5 linked regions of the Macaca mulatta genome follow. Each later gene encodes a partner of the first gene's protein in a complex. Links are inferred from orthologs where the notes say so. Each region holds a gene or a part of one and is shown in the gene's direction. Other genes may lie near its edges. The genes, in order: FLNA, ITGB2, CFTR, ITGB3 and ITGA2B.

The links.
Region 2: the proteins of FLNA (region 1) and ITGB2 are in contact, whole or in part, in a crystal structure (PDB 2JF1), measured with the Homo sapiens proteins. The link is inferred for Macaca mulatta from reciprocal best matches to the Homo sapiens genes FLNA and ITGB2. Residues at the interface, in NP_001104026.1 of Homo sapiens: Val2241, Thr2263, Ala2266, Gly2267, Ala2268, Gly2269, Gly2270, Leu2271, Ala2272, Ile2273, Ala2274, Val2275, Glu2276, Gly2277, Pro2278, Ser2279, Lys2280, Ala2281, Ile2283, Phe2285, Phe2311; in NP_000202.3 of Homo sapiens: Leu753, Phe754, Lys755, Ser756, Ala757, Thr758, Thr759, Thr760, Val761, Met762, Asn763.
Region 3: the proteins of FLNA (region 1) and CFTR are in contact, whole or in part, in a crystal structure (PDB 3ISW), measured with the Homo sapiens proteins. The link is inferred for Macaca mulatta from reciprocal best matches to the Homo sapiens genes FLNA and CFTR. Residues at the interface, in NP_001104026.1 of Homo sapiens: Thr2263, Gly2267, Ala2268, Gly2269, Gly2270, Leu2271, Ala2272, Ile2273, Ala2274, Val2275, Glu2276, Gly2277, Pro2278, Ser2279, Lys2280, Ala2281, Ile2283, Ser2284, Phe2285, Asp2287, Phe2311; in NP_000483.3 of Homo sapiens: Ser10, Val11, Val12, Ser13, Lys14, Leu15, Phe16, Phe17, Ser18, Trp19, Thr20.
Region 4: the proteins of FLNA (region 1) and ITGB3 are in contact, whole or in part, in an NMR structure (PDB 2MTP), measured with the Homo sapiens proteins. The link is inferred for Macaca mulatta from reciprocal best matches to the Homo sapiens genes FLNA and ITGB3. Residues at the interface, in NP_001104026.1 of Homo sapiens: Gly2236, Arg2264, Ala2268, Gly2269, Gly2270, Leu2271, Ala2272, Ile2273, Ala2274, Val2275, Glu2276, Gly2277, Pro2278, Ser2279, Lys2280, Ala2281, Ile2283, Phe2285, Asp2287, Gly2291; in NP_000203.2 of Homo sapiens: Lys742, Ile745, Thr746, Pro771, Leu772, Tyr773, Lys774, Glu775, Ala776, Thr777, Ser778, Thr779, Ile783, Tyr785, Arg786, Gly787, Thr788.
Region 5: the proteins of FLNA (region 1) and ITGA2B are in contact, whole or in part, in an NMR structure (PDB 7SFT), measured with the Homo sapiens proteins. The link is inferred for Macaca mulatta from reciprocal best matches to the Homo sapiens genes FLNA and ITGA2B. Residues at the interface, in NP_001104026.1 of Homo sapiens: Thr2263, Gly2267, Ala2268, Gly2269, Gly2270, Leu2271, Ile2273, Ala2274, Val2275, Glu2276, Gly2277, Ser2279, Ile2283, Phe2285, Asp2287, Arg2288, Lys2289, Gly2291, Cys2293, Val2295; in NP_000410.2 of Homo sapiens: Trp1019, Lys1020, Val1021, Gly1022, Phe1023, Phe1024, Lys1025, Arg1026, Asn1027, Arg1028, Pro1029, Pro1030.

What each region holds. Positions count from the first base shown.
Region 1 is NC_133426.1:160,547,891-160,551,399, forward strand, and holds part of FLNA (filamin-A), read left to right. Parts: intron 1-96; coding exon 97-345; intron 346-448; coding exon 449-546; intron 547-642; coding exon 643-790; intron 791-1,384; coding exon 1,385-1,503; intron 1,504-1,595; coding exon 1,596-1,673; intron 1,674-1,763; coding exon 1,764-1,926; intron 1,927-2,009; coding exon 2,010-2,210; intron 2,211-2,773; coding exon 2,774-2,911; intron 2,912-3,000; coding exon 3,001-3,124; intron 3,125-3,296; coding exon 3,297-3,433; intron 3,434-3,509. UniProt on the Homo sapiens protein: Promotes orthogonal branching of actin filaments and links actin filaments to membrane glycoproteins. Anchors various transmembrane proteins to the actin cytoskeleton and serves as a scaffold for a wide range of cytoplasmic signaling proteins.
Region 2 is NC_133408.1:2,622,501-2,626,009, forward strand, and holds part of ITGB2 (integrin beta-2), read left to right. Parts: coding exon 1-32; intron 33-1,172; coding exon 1,173-1,268; exon of another isoform or gene 1,269-2,199; coding exon of another isoform or gene 2,200-2,861; coding exon 2,862-2,951; intron 2,952-3,509.
Region 3 is NC_133408.1:157,022,840-157,026,959, forward strand, and holds the start of CFTR (cystic fibrosis transmembrane conductance regulator), read left to right. Parts: upstream 1-1,317; 5' UTR 1,318-2,332; intron 2,333-2,584; exon of another isoform or gene 2,585-2,684; 5' UTR 2,685-2,733; coding exon 2,734-2,786; intron 2,787-4,120. UniProt on the Homo sapiens protein: Epithelial ion channel that plays an important role in the regulation of epithelial ion and water transport and fluid homeostasis. Mediates the transport of chloride ions across the cell membrane.
Region 4 is NC_133421.1:71,534,280-71,538,586, forward strand, and holds the start of ITGB3 (integrin beta-3), read left to right. Parts: upstream 1-1,506; 5' UTR 1,507-1,662; coding exon 1,663-1,741; intron 1,742-2,005; exon of another isoform or gene 2,006-2,013; coding exon of another isoform or gene 2,014-2,565; exon of another isoform or gene 2,566-2,659; intron 2,660-4,307. Other genes in the region: uncharacterized protein LOC114673163, read right to left, coding at 2,014-2,565. UniProt on the Homo sapiens protein: Integrin alpha-V/beta-3 (ITGAV:ITGB3) is a receptor for cytotactin, fibronectin, laminin, matrix metalloproteinase-2, osteopontin, osteomodulin, prothrombin, thrombospondin, vitronectin and von Willebrand factor.
Region 5 is NC_133421.1:68,750,833-68,754,341, reverse strand, and holds part of ITGA2B (integrin alpha-IIb), read left to right. Parts: intron 1-341; coding exon 342-422; intron 423-544; coding exon 545-644; intron 645-743; coding exon 744-896; intron 897-1,012; coding exon 1,013-1,138; intron 1,139-1,611; coding exon 1,612-1,725; intron 1,726-1,918; coding exon of another isoform or gene 1,919-1,961; coding exon 1,962-2,063; intron 2,064-2,640; coding exon 2,641-2,851; intron 2,852-3,509. UniProt on the Homo sapiens protein: Integrin alpha-IIb/beta-3 is a receptor for fibronectin, fibrinogen, plasminogen, prothrombin, thrombospondin and vitronectin. It recognizes the sequence R-G-D in a wide array of ligands.

The sequences.
Region 1 (3,509 bases):
CCCCCCATCCCGTGCTACCAGACCATGACCCCAAAGCCTGGGAGCGGCCCCTCCCGCACAGCTGTGTGCCCAGTGTAGCCACTCTTGTACTCACAGACAGCAAGGCCATCGTGGACGGGAACCTGAAGCTGATCCTGGGCCTCATCTGGACCCTGATCCTGCACTACTCCATCTCCATGCCCATGTGGGATGAGGAGGAGGATGAGGAGGCCAAGAAGCAGACCCCCAAGCAGAGGCTCCTGGGCTGGATCCAGAACAAGCTGCCACAGCTGCCCATCACCAACTTCAGCCGAGACTGGCAGAGCGGCCGGGCCCTGGGTGCCCTGGTCGACAGCTGTGCCCCGGGTGAGGGGGCACAGAGGCAGGAGAGACTGGGCTGGGGTCGCCCATGGGTGGCCCTTGAGGGGCTTCTGTAGCCCCCGGATTCACAGCCTTCCTTGTGCCATAGGCCTGTGTCCTGACTGGGACTCTTGGGATGCCAGCAAGCCTGTGAATAATGCACGAGAGGCCATGCAGCAGGCGGATGACTGGCTGGGCATCCCCCAGGTACACCTGCCCGGCCTGTCTGCGGCTGTAGGGGACCGGATCGGCAGTTGGGAGAGACTCGGAGGCCCGATGGCTCCTGTTTTCTGCCCGTGACAGGTGATCACCCCCGAGGAGATTGTGGACCCCAACGTGGATGAGCATTCTGTCATGACCTACCTGTCCCAGTTCCCCAAGGCCAAGCTGAAGCCAGGGGCACCCTTGCGGCCCAAACTGAACCCGAAGAAAGCCCGTGCCTACGGGCCAGGTGAGGGAGCCCAGCCAGGGGTGCACCCATGTGCCAATGTCTTACCCGTAAGACAGTGTCCCATCCAAACGTGGAGGTCCCGAGGGGTCTTGGGTTACATGGTGGCTAGGTGATCGGGCCACCCAAAAGTCAGACAGGAGTGGGTCGGGACTAGCGGCAACACTCCACTGAGTAGGCAAGAGAATGCCAAAACGTTCCTCCAGTCACAGAAACCTGCAGCGTGAGGTCCTCGGGGAGGTAGCACCCAGGGGTCTCTGTTATACATGGAGATGAACCAGAACTCAGTAACAGGGACCTAAAACCCAGTCACAGCTCACACAGGAATAAGGGCCCAGTGCGGTGAGAATGAATGTTCCAGAAAACAGGCACAGGCCTGTCCCAGCGGCAAGAGCTCACACTGAATGAACTTGCCCAGTTTGGAATGTACCTGACTTAGGGGCCAGCAGGGAGGGGCGTTGAGCCTGCAGAGGCCTGGGGGCTGGCATTGCCACCGGTGCTCTTGCCCGCCTCCCTTAGCATCCAGGACTGAGGGGTGGAGGGGTGAGGCTGTGGCCCTAACAACTGGCCTGTGGTTGGCTCACCCTCCCCTGCCAGGCATTGAGCCCACAGGCAACATGGTGAAGAAGCGGGCGGAGTTCACTGTGGAGACCAGAAGTGCCGGCCAGGGAGAGGTGCTGGTGTACGTGGAGGACCCGGCCGGACACCAGGAGGAGGTAGGGCTAGCTGCTGGCAGCGGAGACCCCGCGGCACTCCCTTTCAGTGGGGCTGCTCTTAGCGAAGGCTCACAGGCTCCTTCCCACTGCAGGCAAAAGTGACTGCCAATAATGACAAGAACCGCACCTTTTCTGTCTGGTACGTCCCCGAGGTGACGGGGACTCATAAGGTGAGCCCTTGGCCAGTGGGGAGGCTTGTGACCTCAGGCGGTGGCTGGAGGTCCCTAGCCTACCCTCACGGCCCACCCTTCTGGGGACAGGTCACTGTGCTATTTGCTGGCCAGCACATCGCCAAGAGCCCCTTCGAGGTGTATGTGGATAAGTCACAGGGTGACGCCAGCAAAGTGACAGCCCAAGGCCCCGGCCTGGAGCCCAGTGGCAACATCGCCAACAAGACCACCTACTTTGAGATCTTTACAGCAGGTAAGGGGAGGCTGCCGAGGCCCGGCTGGTCTGTGGGGAGAGCCACACTGGGGCCGGGGAGCTAAGCAGGTGCCTTGTGGCAGGAGCTGGCACGGGCGAGGTTGAGGTTGTGATCCAGGACCCCGCGGGACAGAAGGGCACGGTAGAGCCTCAGCTGGAGGCCCGGGGCGACAGCACATACCGCTGCACCTACCAGCCCACCATGGAGGGTGTCCACACCGTGCACGTCACGTTTGCCGGCGTGCCCATCCCTCGCAGCCCCTACACTGTCACTGTTGGCCAAGGTAGGCCCGGCCCTGACCGCCCTCTGCTGTGGCACTGCAGTCTGGGCCTCCCACAGGAGGGGGAGCCCCCTGGTCCAGTCCCGCTGCAGCCCACCCCAGGGCGCCTACTCTTTGAGCTTCCACTGTCTGGGCACCTGCTGTCTTTCCTCCCCTGCTGGGGTCCTTCCTCCTCTCCTCTCCTCGCCCCTCTCCATCTCTCTCCTCTCCTCGCCCCTCTCCATCTCTCTCCTCACGCTTTCACCTTTGGAAGAGCTCGCTCCAGCTGTCTAGAAACCTGCTGCTCTCCGCTCTGCCCATGGGGTCAACGGTACTTGGATCTGTCTTCTTCTTGGAAGGGAGGGCGGGGGGCTCTGGGCTGGTGTGTAGCAGGTGGGAGGAGGCCTGCCATGTCCTGGCCCAGGCCACAGTTACTGGGGTCACGGTTCCTTCCAGTTCTTTCTTGCATGTCCCCCTCCAACCAAACTCTGAGGGACCCTCCAGTCCTGACAGCCCCGCCCTGCAGGAGGCAAGGGAGGGGTCACCCAGCCGAGCTGCTGGTGCTCAGCTGGCCCCTCTGCCTACAGCCTGTAACCCGAGTGCCTGCCGGGCAGTCGGCCGGGGCCTCCAGCCCAAGGGTGTGCGGGTGAAGGAGACAGCCGACTTCAAGGTGTACACAAAGGGCGCTGGCAGTGGGGAGCTGAAGGTCACCGTGAAGGGCCCCAGTAAGTTGGCCTGGAGCCAGGCCAGGGTGGGTGGCGGCAGCCCCCAGGTTCACTGCTGGGCAGGCCTGAGGCCCTCCTTGTCTTCGCAGAGGGAGAGGAGCGCGTGAAGCAGAAGGACCTAGGGGATGGCGTGTATGGCTTCGAGTATTACCCCACGGTCCCTGGGACCTATATCGTGACCATCACATGGGGCGGTCAGAACATTGGGCGCAGGTGAGGCCCCCAGGCATCCCTCTCCCAGCTCTGCACATTCTGCCTCTTCCTCCTGCCTCCCCACCTGATGATGAGGGGCCACACGGGCTCTTCCTGCCTGGCCGCCACAGTGGGGCCCAGGCTGGCTCATGTAGTGATTCTTGGTATTCCTGTGTGGCTCTCCCATTCGCAGTCCCTTCGAGGTGAAGGTGGGCACCGAGTGTGGCAATCAGAAGGTGCGGGCATGGGGCCCTGGGCTGGAGGGCGGCGTCGTTGGCAAGTCAGCAGACTTTGTGGTGGAGGCTATTGGGGACGACGTGGGCACCCTGGGTAAGTTGGGGGCTGCACCATGGGCACCTGGGGACAGACGATGGCAAGGACAACCCACCCTGAGGCTCCAGGGCAC
Region 2 (3,509 bases), on another chromosome or scaffold:
AGGACAACATGTACAAGAGGAGCAACGAGTTCGTAAGTCCCCACCCCAGGCACCCAGGCACCGCCTGGCAGGACACCATTGACGGAGGGAACAAGGCGGGGTCTCCACCTTACAGAGCCTCCTTCCAACCCAAGGAGCAGATTCCCGAGGAAACTTCTGGAAGCCCCAAGTGGCAGTGTGGGGTCTCCCAGGACTGGCCTCAGGCCAGGGGAGGGTGGGGTTGGTGGGGGCAGCCAGGCTGAGCCCCGGCCTCGCCCTTGTGGCACTCCCAGGCCCTGTTGGTCTCCAGCCCCACTGCCCCCGCACCTGGGCTGTCAGCGGCTGTGGAGGTACAGTAACCGCCCCCAGGCTACAGCCGCGCCCTGTTGTCCCCGCCGCTGGCCAGAGTCCCATCCTGGAGCATCCGCCTCCTCCTCCTCCTGGCCTCCTCTGTGGTTTCCCTGCTGCCCCTGAGTCCGCCTCCTCCAGTGCGGCCCCTCCCTGTCCCCAGCGCCTGAGCTGGGTGAGGGACTGCGGGGACCATGAGGAAAATGCGGGGAGGGACCCAGGATGCACAGGGTTAGGACGAGCCTGTCTCTGCAGAGGCATTTCAATGGCTCAGAGGGGCCACGACCTCTGGCTGGGATCAGCCGTGGGCCCAGAGGCCACCACCGGTCACAGGGGCTTGTCCTCGCTGGCCATGGTGCAATGCTCTTGCGGCCTGACATCATAGGCTCTGGGGGCGGCAAAGGACTTTAGAGATGCAAAACTCAGGTCCTCTGCCGAAGCCACAGACGGGAGGGACGGCCGTCGGGTCCTGGAACTTGGGTAGCGAGAGCCGCACCTGACCCTCATGGCCTCTGCTGAAACTGAGCGCCTCTCAGTGCGAAAGCAGGTCCACCGTGTGGGGCAGGCTGGGATTCTGCCCCGTGGACATCCCCAGTCCCACGGTGAGACGCCTCAAATGCTGCTCTTGGCTGGACTCTGAAAGCCCAAGTCTATGCACACGTTGCCCAGAGGCCATGGCGGCTCTCTGCACTGCACTCCTGCGCGGCAGCCTCTGCCTCTCCAGCCTTCCCCCGAGAGGGTCCGAAGCACAGGCAGGGCTAAGGCTGAGTGGGGCAGACAGGGGCGGGCACCTGGAAGGCTTGTCTCAGACTCGGGGCCAGCTGAGCAGGACCTCCTTTCTCCAGGACTACCCATCGGTGGGCCAGCTGGCGCACAAGCTGGCCGAAAACAACATCCAGCCCATCTTCGCGGTGACCAGGAAGATGGTGAAGACGTATGAGGTGAGTGCTGTTGGGTCCTGAGCATCTGTTGGGCAGGGGCACGTTTCAGCCGCAGGCCACACCCAGCGCCACTGCAGGTCTGAGTGCCACCTCCACATGCTGGGCACGTGAGGGCCAGCCGGCCCGGGTCACAGATGCCTGTGGGTGAGGAGCCTGAGGCTTCCCGTCCAGGACAGGACACCTGCGTGTCGATAGAAGGAGGAATTCCTCCCTATCCCTGAAACTCAGCTGTGTTAACAGCGTGTCTTGGCATTGGTGATATTTTCTGTTCTTTTCTGGAATATAGCACAATTCTTTATTTTATGGAAACATGCTTATTTTATGCTCACATACATTTGAATATCAACACTCTCCACGAAGATAAAATTACACAAAAACGTTCACAAGCTTGGAGCGTGGGGTGGGATGAGTTTTACAAAGGAAGCACAGCCGATAACCAGCTCTGCTCCTAGAAGCAGAAGCCCCCAATGAAATACGTTCATCCCGAATTTCCACCGCCCGTGCCATGTGTTCAGCCTGGCCTGAGCAGGTTCGTGCGTTCAAGTCGCTCAGGTGCTGTCGGGGTTCCCAAGACCACTCTCAGGGTCAGTGATTTGCTGGAAGGACTTGCAGAGCTCAGGAACTAGTAAACTCACAGTTACGGTTTATTGCGAAGCAAACCCTCCTGGGTGCCAGCCGCTGCCCGAGGTGGGAGGATACAGACAAAAGTCACTAAAGGTCAAAGGTGCACAGGAGAGAAACCAGGCCACCTCCTGAGGGAAACCACCGCTTGTGCACACAGAGAACACACCCTTCTGCCATATGTTGATGGAGACAAGCCTTCCATAAATGCCTCAAATGGGAGGAGCCAAACCAAACAAATGGAGCCCTGGGATTCAGCACTGGCTTTGGATCTTCCCACATAGGCCTCCTGAGTGCTGGGATTCCAGGCATGGCCCCGGGCAGCTCAGGGCTTTTTACCCCCCCTTACCACATATCGCTGACCACACACTCTGGGGACCAAGCGAGAAACTGCATTGAGGACCGTCCCAGCCATTTTGCAGGTGCAGAAGCCCCTGGGGTGAGCCCGGTGCGTGGAGACGCCATGGCACAGGTCCTCAGGGTGAGCCCGGTGCGTGGAGACGCCATGGCACAGGTCCTCAGGGTGAGCCCGGTGCGTGGAGACGCCATGGCACAGGTCCTCAGGGTGAGCCCGGTGCGTGGAGACGCCATGGCACAGGTCCTCAGGGTGAGCCCGGTGCGTGGAGACGCCATGGCACAGGTCCTCAGGGTGAGCCCGGTGCGTGGAGACGCCATGGCACAGGTCCTCAGGGTGAGCCCGGTGCGTGGAGACGCCATGGCACAGGTCCTCAGGGTGAGCCCGGTGCGTGGAGACGCCATGGCACAGGTCCTCAGGGTGAGCCCGGTGCGTGGAGACGCCATGGCACAGGTCCTCAGGGTGAGCCCGGTGCGTGGAGACGCCATGGCACAGGTCCTCAGGGTGAGCCCGGTGCGTGGAGATGCCATGGCACAGGTCTTCAGGGTGAGCCCGGTGCATGGAGATGCCATGGCACAGGTCCTAGCCATGCCGTGTCTGGTCTTCTTGCCCAACAGAAACTCACTGAGATCATCCCGAAGTCAGCGGTGGGGGAGCTGTCTGACGACTCCAGCAATGTGGTCCAGCTCATTAAGAACGCTTACAATGTGAGTCTCCCACACCGCTCAGCCGGGACCCATGGGGTGGCCAGCAACCTCCCCACTGCAGGTCAGCAGGAGGGTGATCTGGGAGGAGAGCCACTGCCCTGTGGGCTGGTTGCAGCCTCCAGGACACCCTGGCCTGGCAGTTCCACGGGGAGCTCCATGTCCTCTCTCATTGATGGTGTGGGCGATGCTCCTTGAAACCCAAGCTCAGGCCCTCTTCATGCAGGACTCTTCTCTGTGGGTCTCTATGGGGAAGGGGGGTGGACACTCTGGTGGTAGACAGGGCACCTGGGGCTGGAGGAGGCCACAGGAAACCCCCACGGTGGACTTGGGCCCTGGGAAGACACCCTGGGGGGTGGAATTCCTCTTGCTCTGTACACCTGTCCTGGGCAAGCCCCAGAGAAGCCCTCACCCACTGAATTTCTTCCTGGTGCATGGCCCAGCTGCACCCTGGGCTGCTCCCCGGGGAAGCCCGGGGCCCTGGTGGGCATAGGTAGGCACAAGTGCACACTAGGCACCGCTCAGGGCCCCAGGCACCAGAGGTCCCAGACTGCTCTGGAA
Region 3 (4,120 bases), on another chromosome or scaffold:
ACATTTCAAAGATACGTTTAGGATTTCAGTCATGACCTTAAGTCACATTTGAACAGTTTTCTGGTCGATAAGTCCTTATTCCCACATTATGTATGTATCTTGATGCAAATTCTGAATATCATGTTGCAATTAGTGCATTTGGACATGCTTGCTAACTGTGTTAAAGCTCTGAATAATGGTAAAGTTTTATTTCTACCAAAACAAATTTGGACCATAATGTTTTATGATAAAAATCTATGGTCTTCCTATGTACATGTGTGTGTACATGCTTAAAATGGAATGTTATAGTTAAATGTAATTCTTTAAAAGTATATAACTCCAGTGGCTACTTGGTTTGGCTACTTGGTTTGTAGATATTTGCTTTCCTGTTTCATTGTTAAACAGGCCTAGAAGTTATTATTTCATGAAACTAATGTGAGGAAAGAGACTAGGTTGATGTATAAGTGACATTATAAAAATACATGAGGGATGATTTGATTAGAAGCAGTATTACACAGTGATAGGAGTAATGGTTTAGAACTAGACCCAGGTTTGAATCTTAGCTCTATCATTATAGGCATTTACTTAACTTTTCTTGTTTGCTTACTCAACTGAAAACTGAAGATAATAACACCTGTTTACATGGTTGTTGTAAGGGTTATATGAATAATGTCTGGCAAATAGTAAGAACTCAAGTAACTGTTTCATTCTTTCCAGAAGGAGATTGACTGAAAAATATTTGGAGTCTCCTGCAGCCATATTCCTTGGTCAGCTTCTATGATTCTCTTTGGAGCTTAATTCTTAATCCCTTTATTTTCACTTGCTTGTTGATAACAAAGAATAATTTATTTCAAAATAATTTATTTCAAAAATAATTTTTTGAAATAATTTATTTCAAACGCATGTATTATATTTGATGGGCCACACTAATAGTTATAAACCAAACAACAGATTGGGGATGGGGAAGTGGATGGAGTGAGTTCAGTCACATGTCTGGGAAAAGTCAATAGTGAAGACAGTCTCAATTTTTGTCATACTGGAGAGTGAAAACACAGGTAGAGGATTTCAAACAACAGGGTGGATGGTGAGTTAAAAGTGCTGAAGTTCTTTCCTGGTGTCTAACTTAATGCAATGTGGTTTATCTCTTTGCCCTTTTCTCTACTATTCAAATTTAGGATAATAAAGATTAAATGTTTCTAAATCTTACTTTACAATATTCAAGAAAAAAGGTATGCTTTTGTCCACTGAAGTGCAAAGCAGAGCTATGAAAACCTGCTGAACACATTCTTTATTTTCAACACATGTTCTTGTCTTTCCATCATGAAATGCATGTTTTATTTGTACTGTAGCTGGGTGACCACAAGTTAACAATAAGATCATTCACAAGACCCTTGCCTTAGATGTGTTGACAATGAAGTAATCAGGCCAAAATTTTTACTTTCCTTTGAATTTTTCAATTCAAACACAACGTGTGCTTGCTTTTACACAATAGGGTTCAGGGATTAGAGGGTTGGCTCTTTAAATACCGTCAGAGACACAGGCAATCCTACACCAAGTGCTCAGAAGGAAGGCGCCTACGCCTGGGAATGTCCAGTTGCCCTTGGAGAGTTGAAGATGGCGTTTCTCTGAGTCAGGTCAAAGTTAACACATTACCTTCGCTTCAAAGACTGCTTGGATTCCTTTCGGTGGATTAGTCAAGATGTTTTGCTGACTGAGACTAGGAAATCTATAGGAGGGCGGGTTAGTTTACATTGTTGCTTGTCATTGTCGCTAAAACACTCCAAAGCCTTCCTTAAAAATGCACACTGGACTAAAAACGACAGACAAGGAACAAATCCTGGGCTGGTAATTAGGCGAAGCACTATCTCCTCTTACCTCCTTGTAGATTTTTTTTCCCCCTTTAAGTACGTGTCCTCAGATTTCTTTGTCATCCTTGGAGTTCACTCACCTAAGCCTGAAACTAATAAAGCTTGGTTCTTTTCTCCAACACGCAGAGGAAGCGCTAAGGTGAATGCATCAGACCCACACTGCCGCGGAACTTTTCGGCTCTCTAAGGCTGTATTTTGATACACGAAAGGCACATTTTCCTTCCCTTTTCAAAATGCACCTTGCAAACGTAACAGGAACCCAGCTAGGATCATCGGAAAAAGGAGGAAGAGGAGGAAGGCAGGCTCGGGGGAAGCTGGTGGCAGCGAGTGCTGGGTCTGGTGGACCCTGCCGCGAAGGACGGTCCAGGAGGCTCTCCGGGGAGCCAGTTCTGCCGGTGGCTTCTTCTGTCCTCCAGCGTTGCCAACCGCACCTAAAGAGCGGCCGCGACTGTCGCCCACCTGCGGGATGGGCCTGGTGCTGGGCGGTAAGGACACGGACCTGGAAGGAGCGCGCGCGAGGGAGGGAGGCTGGGAGTCAGAATCAGAAAAGGGAGGTGCGGGGCGGCGAGGGAGCGAAGGAGGAGAGGAGGAAGGAGCGGCCGGGGTGCTGCCGGGGGTGCGTAGTGGGTGGAGAAAGCCGCTAGAGCAAATTTGGGGCCGGACCAGGCAGCACTCGGCTTTTAACCTGGGCAGTGAAGGCGGGGGAAGGAGCAAAAGGAAGGGGTGGTGTGTGGAGTAGGGGTGGGTGGGGGGAGTTGGAAGCAAATGACATCACAGCAGGTCAGAGAAAAAGGGTTGAGCGGCAGGCACCCAGAGTAATAGGTCCTTTGGCATTAGGAGCTTGAGCCCAGTCGGCCCTAGCGGGGACCCCAGCGCCCGAGAGACCATGCAGAGGTCGCCTCTGGAAAAGGCCAGCGTTGTCTCCAAACTTTTTTTCAGGTGAGAGGGTGGCCAACCGAGCTTTGGAAAGACACGTGCCCACGAAAGATTAGGGCGTGTGTATGGGCTGGATTTGGGGAAAAGAAATAAGCAGTTTTTAAAAAGATGCGCTATCATTCATTGTTTTGAAAGAAAATGTGGGTATTGTGGAATAAAACAGAAAGCGTTAAGAAGAGATTGAAGAATGAATTGAAGCTGATTGAATAGACAGCCACATCTACTTGCAACTGAAAAGTTAGAATCTCAAGACCCAAGTATGCTACTATGCAGTTATTTTATTTGATTTTTCTAAGAAACTAAAAAAACTTGTTAATAATAAATACTTAAGTGTGGTTTATTGGTTTTCCCCCTTCATGCCTTGGACACTTGATTATCTTCTTGGCACATACAGGTGCCATGCCTGCATATAGTAGGTGCTCAGAAAACATTTCTTGACTGAATTCTGCCAAAAAAATTTTTGGGGTAGGTAGAAAATATGTGCTTAAAATATTTATTGTTATGAGACTGGATAAATCTAGTATTTGTCACAAGTACATTGTTCTTTAAAAATTGAAGGCAAATTTGTTGAAATATTTATTTAGAAAAAAGTTAACTTTACAAGCTATAAATTTTAAAAGCCATAGGAATAGATACTGAAGTTATATCCAACTGACATTTAATAAATTGTATTCCTAGCCTAATGTGATGAGCCATAGAAGCTTGCAAACTTTGAGCCATAGAAGCTTGCAAACTTTATCTAATGAGATTTTGAAAAACAGCGTCTAAGTTCGGAATCTTAGGCAAAGTGTTATTAGATGTAGCACTTCATATTTGAAGTGTTCTTTGGATATTGCATCTACTTTGTTCCTGTTATACCTGTGTGAATGAATGAGTAGGTACTTCTCTCTCGTGGGACATTACTTGACTCATAATTACCCAATGAATAAGCATACTGAGGTATCAAAAAAGTGAAATATGTTATAAATAGCTCATATAAGTGTGTAGGGGGGAAGAGATTTAGCTTTCACATTTCTGTTATGTTTAGTTCTCTGCATGTGCAGCTAATCCTGGAACTCCGGTGCTAAGGAGAGACTGTGGCCCTTGAAGGAGAGCTCCTCCCGGTGGATGAGAGAGAAGGACTTTACTCTTTGGAATTACCTTTTTGTATTGATGTTATAGCACCTTTTGTTACTTCTTCTATAAAATCGGCTTATCTATTGATCTGTTTTCCTACTTCTTATAAAATCAGAATGTTAATTGGCATAAATTATAGACCTTTTTAGCAGAGAACTTTGAGGAAGCTAAATGCCAATCAGTCTAAAAATGCAGTTTTCAGAAGAATTAATATTCCATGG
Region 4 (4,307 bases), on another chromosome or scaffold:
CCTTGGGGCTGGGAGTGCAGAATGGACTCACTTGCACAATTGCGTCATGTTTGCTAGGGCTTGGGCTTGGGTTGTGGACTTAGCATATTTGCTGAGGTCGTTGCCCACCCCAAGTGGTTGGTGCCAGTAGGGATAGGCTGAGGAGACACCTAAGTGGCTGGAGATTGGTTTTATATATATGGGAATGGAGCAGATAAGTAAATATTTTAGGCAGAGATGTAACCAGGCCATGTGACCTGAACTTTGCTCCAGGGCCTTGAAATTGCTGTTAAAACGCTTCTGGCCTAAAGGCCCTCTGAAGCCAGGGGAGGTAGATGGAGCTTCAACCTGAAAGCCCAGGTGAGAGGGCCCAACTACCCTTTCCAGAGCTGGCTCTTCCCCTTGCAAATTGCTAGTGACGCTTCTGCTGATGTGTGTTACTGTTAAGGTGTATCCTAGTGTTTGGGAGGGTGGGGCAGGAGGTGGAGGATTGTCAGAAAAAAATTACATGGAAAAGAGGGCATCGGAGATGTTTTGAAGGATAAGTGGAATTTTCCAAGTGGAAAAAGGAAGGAAAATCAGTCAGACAGGAAGACATGGAGCATTTGGGAATGACATGTATCTTCTTGGACTTAGGGTGTGAGATGGGCTGCAGAGATGGGTCAGGGCCAGTTGTCTGGCATCTTGTGTGTCGCAGAAGAGGGTGGGGACTCTGCATAGGGAAGCCAAGGGCCACTCTGAGAGCCCTAAAAGGGAACTGATGCCTCAGGCCTTGTTTTTTTTATCACCATCAGGGCTACCCAATGAGGAGGGCTGCACTACCCCGGCTACTTCCTGGTGGCCTCTTGCTCATAGCCATAGTATTTTGCCTCTCTGAGCTTCCAGAGGTTTTAAGTCTGGGGAAGATCCAGGGACTCAAGGAAAGATTGGGGTGGGAGTTAAGGGGCCACAGTTTGGGGGAGTCAGACAGGAGGCCTTTGAGGAAAACAGATAAAGTCCCAAAGCCTGTTAGTGTGAATTTGGAGGCAATATGCTGACTGTGTTCTGAAACGTTTTCAGACACCGGCTAGGTGCAACCAAGTGTTTGTGGGGTGAGGCTCTTCATGGACTCATCACTGCTTACACAAGCTTGGGATGTGGTCTTGCCCTCAACAGGTAGGTAGTCTACCGGAAAACCAAACTAAGGCAGGAAAAAAATTAGTTAATAATAAAAGACAATCGGCTCAGAGAAGGCATTCAACAGATGTCTGTCAATCAAATTAATTAAAGTGTGAATGAATGAAACTCGAGGCAGTGGGTGAATGTGTCCCAAGAATCCAAATGAAACAAGGTATCCCGGGAGGCGGGACTGGAAGGGTCCAGAGAGGGGTCACAAGCTCCTGGCCTTTCTGAGCTTCCAAGTGCCCAGTCGCGGACCCCCGGGACCAGGATGCGCTGACAACCTGGCTGGCAGGCGGGTCCTCGTGGGCGAGGCGAGGGAGGCGGCGGGAGAGTAGCAGCAGTTTCCCACCGCTCCCTCTCAGGCACAGGGTCCAGAGAAGCCCGAAGGGAGGAAGCGCAAGTCCGTGGCCCGCCCCGTTGCGTCCCACCCACCGCGTCCCCTCCCCTCCCGCTGCGGGAAAAGCGGCCGCGGGCGGCGGCGCCCACTGTGGGGCGGGCGGAGCTCGGCGGGAGGCGGACGAGATGCGAGCGCAGCCCGGGCCCCGGCCGCTCTGGGCAACTGTGCTGGCGCTGGGGGCGCTGGCGGGCGTTGGCGTCGGAGGTGAGTGAGGCTCCGGCTTGGCAGCGACGCAGCTGCCCCAGGATCCGCGCCGCGGTCAAGTTGCGGACTTGGAGCCGGGAAAACCGGAGGGCTGGTTCAGCGCGTCTGCGCTGGGAATGCGCGGGTCCTGGCTGGGGCCGTCGGAGCCGGGAGCTGGGGACCTTCCTGGCCTGGCGGTGGCGAGGCTGAGAGGTGCCTGGTGCCTGGGGGCGGGTCCTCCGGGACGCCGAAGCCATCAGCCAGGCTGAGAGCCTTCCCGGCCGCCGCGGCGCTCACGGTGCGGTGGGCTCATCTCTGAGTCCCGCCATCAGCCCGGGCTGCGCGCGTCGTTGGTGGTCCCGGTCGGGCCAAGGACTACTGGCCCAGGAGCCAAGGCGAGGTGGGGCTTCCGGGGATTGTTCCCGGGCCTTGGCAGAGGGATGCCGCCGTAGGTTCCTGGGTGAGAGCGAGCGCGCGCGCGGGTTAGCCAGTTTCCCCACGTTTCCAATTTCTCCTGCTACGCTTTCTCCAGGAAAAGGTTTTTTCTTTTTCTTTTTCTCTTTTTTCTTTTTTCCTTCAACTTGGCTTCCTGCGGGATTGTTTTGGAGCAGGATGAGGGCTTTGCCTCCTCCAGTGTCCCCGGGTGGCAGCGGTGCCTCTACTCCCGGGGCAGACCCTGCACCCGAAAAATCTCTAGTGTATTCGGGGAGCCATGAAAAGGCTCCCTTGGGCCAGTGAGATCCTTGGCTTTGTCTCTGGCTGCTGCGCACACCGTCAGCCGTCAAGGCAATCGGCATTCGGCTTCTTTGGTGCTGGGGACACAGGTGGAGGGATGGAGCTGGCATATCCCGGGGTTGCTGACCGTGGTCCTCTCGGAGTCCTTGGAGATTTTGCCTGGGGTGGGGAGAAACCCTGGCTCCTGGTCTGCTGGGGCCGCCTCTGCCTCAGAGGATGACACAAGAGTGCATATAAGTATTTTTAATAAAAACTGTAGTACTCGTAAAACAACCTACACCCTGCAGAAGGGATTTTTTATTTTATTTTATTTTATTTTTTTGAGACGGAGTCTTGCTCTGTCACCCAGGCTGGAGTGCAGTGGCCGGATCTCTGCTCACTGCAAGAGCCGTCCCCCGGATTTATGCCATTCTCCTGCCTCAGCCTCCCGAGTAGCTGGGACTACAGGCGCCCGCCACCTCGCCTGGCTAGTTTTTTCTTTTTTGTATTTTTTAGTGTTAGCCAGGATGGTCTCGATCTCCTGACCTCGTCATCCACCCGTCTCGGCCTCCCAAAGTGCTGGGATTACAGGCTTGAGCCACCGCGCCCTATTTTGTTTTATTTATTTATTTTTTGAGACTGAGTCTCCCTCTGTTGCCCAGGCTGGAGTGCAGTGGTGGGTTCTCGGCTCACTGCAACTTCTGCCTCCTGGGTTTAAGCGATTCTCCTGACTCTGCCTCCCGAGTAGCTGGGATTACAGGCGCCTGCCACCACGCCGGGTAATTTTTGTATTTTTAGTAGAGACAGGGTTTCATCATGTTGGCCAAGCTGGTCTCGAACTCCTGGCCCCAAGTGATCCACTCACCTCGGCCTCTCAAAGTGCTAGGAATACAGGCGTGAGCCACCGCATCTGGCCAGGATTTATTTTAAAAAGGGAAGCTTTGTTGATAAGTTCACTTCAAAGATAAACTATTCGAAAATACTTTAGTGATTCCCTTCAAGACTCTTCTGTGTATGTATAGACGTGTAATTCATCCTGGACAGGGCAAGGATATTATTATTATTATTATTATTATTATTTTTTTTTGAGATGGACTCTCGCTAGAGAGACGGAGTTTCTCCATGTTGGCCAGGATGGTCTCGATTTCTTGACCTTGTGATCCACCTGCCTCGGCCTCCCAAAGTGCTGGGATTACAGGCGGGAGCCACTGCGCCTGGCCAAGGATATCTTGAAGGAGGGATTACAGTTGATGCGAGGGGAATATTGCAGTGGTTATTGCTGAATTTCCTATGTGACAGATCAGCTGATAGTGTTCGAGTGCAGTGAGCAGTCTGATGACTATGACACAGAAATAGGAATCTCCAGCATTCTGCCCTCGTACATGTGGAGCCTTGGATCAGATGCGGGGAATGGAGAAATCTACCAGGGCAACTCAGTCAAAAAAAAAAAAAAAAAAAAAAAGATATGCTTTCCCTGTCCAGGATGAGATGCTTGCCTCCATGCACTTACAACAATTTTTGCTGTCATTAAAAAATTTTCACATTCACAGTATTCCAAATTCACTTTGGAGTGTATTGGATTCCACTGCATTGACATACCTATGTTTGTGTTGAAAAATCAACTTTAAGATATCTGGTCAGGCACGGTGGCTTATGCCTGTTATCCCAGCACTTTGGGAAGTGGAGGTAGGAGGATTGCTTGAGCCCAGGAGTTCGAGACCAGCTTGGGCAACATAGTGAGACCTAATCTCTACTAAAAATTAAAAAAAAAAAATCCTTGGGCAATCTGTTCACAGATTAATCTTGTGATTGGGATGATTCAAGAAGTGGTGATGGGTTGGGCTGGGCTAGCCCCGCACTCTCTGAGAAGCAG
Region 5 (3,509 bases), on another chromosome or scaffold:
ATAGCTTGAACTGAACCTGGGAGGAGGAGGTTGCAGTGAGCTGAGATTGGGCCCCTGCACTCCAGCCTTCCAGCCTGGGTGACAAAGCGAGACTCCGTCTCAAAAAAAAAAAAAAAAAAAAAAAAAAGGTCTTTGAAGAAGCCTAGTTCCGTTTCTTCCTCAGAGACTTACATCTGAGTCTTGGAGCCGTAGAGGACGTTCTTTCCCAAGGCCTAACTTCAGTGTGGCATGCTGTTTGTATAATTAGCTTTCTCTGAACTCTCTAAAATTCTGGCCTCACCCTCAGAGAGTCACTGGGCTGGTGTCCCTGGCCCTGTTTCTCCTCATCCCCTCCCCTCTAGCAAGAACAGCCAGAATCCAAACAGCAAGATTGTGCTGCTGGATGTGCCAGTCCGGGCAGAGGCCCAAGTGGAGCTGCGAGGGTGAGAGGCCAGGGGTGGAGAATGGAGGTGGTATTCAGGGCTCTCAACTCCAGGGGGCGCTGGGGAACCCCACAGGCCAGTCAGGGCATCACACTCTCTCTGGGGGTCTTGGGCACCTGCAGGAACTCCTTTCCAGCCTCCCTGGTGGTGGCTGCAGAAGAAGGTGACAGGGAGCAGAACAGCTTGGACAGCCGGGGACCCAAAGTGGAGCACACCTATGAGGTAGGGAGGAGCCTCACGTCCCGGGCTGGGGTGAGCGAGTCCTTAGAACTCCGGTTGAGGGGCTGAGCTCCCCGCACCCTGCCACCACCACCCCTCCAGCTCCACAACAATGGCCCTGGGACTGTGAATGGCCTTCACCTCAGCATCCACCTCCCGGGGCAGTCCCAGCACTCTGACCTGCTCTACATCCTGGATATACAGCCCCAGGGGGGCCTTCAGTGCTTCCCACAGCCTCCTGTCAACCCCCTCAAGGTGAGAGCTGGGTGGAAGAAAGAGCTGTGAAGGGGGCCCCAGACCAACCACCGGGGCACCTCTGTGGGCTGGGGTTCGGCAGAGACCTGGGCCTGACCACTCCTTCGCCCTACCAGGTGGACTGGGGGCTGCCCACCCCCAGCCCCTCCCCCGTTCACCCGGCCCACCACAAGCGGGATCGCAGACAGATCTTCCTGCCAGAGCCCGAGCAGCCCTCGAGGCTTCAGGATCCAGTTCTCGTAGTGAGCAGGCTCTCTGGTCTCCAGTGGGGCCTCCCCGGGGCCCAAGGGGCAGAGGGGATGGGAGGAGGGAGAGGGGTCCGGGTGTGCTGTGGGCCTCTGTGGGCCACGCTTGGTCCCACGGAGCACTTCAACATGGAGGAGCACACTGGCTTGTGTCTGGGGTGAGCTGAAAGACACCTGCACTTTTTTAAAGCTTCCCAGTACGTTAAGGAACATAAAATAACGCCAAAGCAAGGTTATCATAGCTCTGGGCATTGCGTGCTGGGGTATGACCCTCCCTGCATCTCTGGGACTATGTGAGCAAGCCCGTGGAGAGCCAGCATCCGAAGCTTGGATCCAAGGCCCTTCCTGATGGGGAGGCCATCGCTCCCTGAACGCCCGGCCCCCTCTGCGTTGGGTCCTGGGGGTAAGGGCGGGGGGGTGATGGGGCGATGGGCCAGGATGGGCTGGGAACTGACGACGCCTCCCCTCAGAGCTGCGACTCGGCGCCCTGTACTGTGGTGCAGTGTGACCTGCAGGAGATGGCGCGCGGGCAGCGGGCCATGGTCACGGTGCTGGCTTTCCTGTGGCTGCCCAGCCTCCACCAGGTGGGGCGGGCCGTAGGGTGGCAGGGCCGGGCATTCTAGGCAGGGACCACTTTGCTCTGGGAGGGGCAGGGTTTGGTGTGGGAAGGCAGGAAGAGAGGGAAGGCAAGGTTTACTTTGGGGGATTGCAGGGGATTAGGCCAGAGGCAGGGCTTCCCCGCCGGGAGTGTGGGACCCGGACTCCTGCAACCAATAGGCCTCGTGTGGGTGTTTATGGCTTTCAACCCCAACCTGTCCAGAGGCCACTGGATCAGTTTGTGCTGCAGTCACAGGCATGGTTCAACGTGTCCTCCCTCCCCTATGCCGTGCCCCCGCTCAGCCTGCCACGAGGGGAAGCTCAGGTGAGTGTGGGGGGCTGGAGCAGAGACCAGTCCTGCAGGACCCATTGTCCCCAGTCAGTGACCAGTCAGGAAGGTCTGAGGGGTGGTATGGGTGGGTGGCATGGCTGGAGGTCACCAGCCTGAGGTTTGAGTCTTTATGAAAGGCAGGTGTCTGCCGGGTGTGGTGGCTTATGCCTGTAATCCCAGCACTTTGGGAAGCTGAGGCAGGTGGATCATGAAGTCAAGAGATTGAGACCATCCTGGCCAACATGGTGAAACCCTGTCTCTACTAAAAATACAAAAATTAGCTGGGCGTGGTGGCACGCACCTGTAGTCCCAGCTACTCGAGAAGCTGAGGCAGGAGAATCTCTTGAACCCAGGAGGTGGAGGTTGCAGTGAGTGGAGATCACGCCACTGCACTCTAGCCTGGTGACAGAGTGAGACTCCATCTAAGAAAGAAAGAAAGAAGGAAAGAAAGAAGGAAGGAAGGAAGGAAGGAAGGAAGGAAGGAAGGAAGGAAGGAAGGAAGGAAGGAAGGAAGGAAAGAAGGAAAGGCAGGTGTCAAGGTGACTGAGAAGACACGTGGGTTTGCCCCCAGGTGCGGACACAGCTGCTTCGGGCCTTGGAGGAGAGGGCCATTCCAATCTGGTGGGTGCTGGTGGGTGTGCTGGGCGGCCTGCTGCTGCTCACCATCCTGGTCCTGGCCATGTGGAAGGTGAGGTGTGAAGGACAGTGGAATCTCCAGTGGGGCACAGGCTTGGCCCCGCCTTGCCTCACAGGGAGTCAAGGAGAGATGGTGGCCCACCCAAGTGGGTAATCCAGGGACCAGGGATCTATGTCTCCATTATTAGAATGTCATTCTCGGCCCAGTGGGGTGGCTCACACCTGTAATCCCAGCACTTTGGGAGGCCAAGGCAGGTAGATCACCTGAGGTCAAGAGTTCGAGACCAGCCTGGCCAAAATGGTGAAACCCCGTTTCTACTAAAAATACCAAAATTAGCCAGGCGTGGTGACACATGCCTGTAATCTCAGCTACTTGGGAGGCTGAGGCAGTAGAGGCGGAGGTTGCGGTGAGCCAAGATCACGCCACTGCACTCCAGCTTGGGCAACAGAGCGAGCCTCCATCTCCAAAAAAGAAGGAAAGAAAGAAAGAAAAGAAAGAAAGAAAGAAATAGAATGTATTTCTCTAGTAGAGCAAAAAAGGTAAAACAAACACACAAACCCAAAAAATGTCATTCTCCTGGGAACACTTCCAGGTACATACTACTAGAAAGGACAGCACCTGAAATTCTGGGGCCTTTAGACACCCCTGCCACCAGAAAGAATCAGAGGATATAGAGGGTATATAGGGTGTAAGTTCTGCCTTCAGGAATTCCTGGCTGGTCTTGAGGACAAGACGCACTTCCTCCTAGCTCTGCCCTTCCCCTTGAGTGAGGCAAGAGGTCCAAGGACTGGTTTAGACCCTAT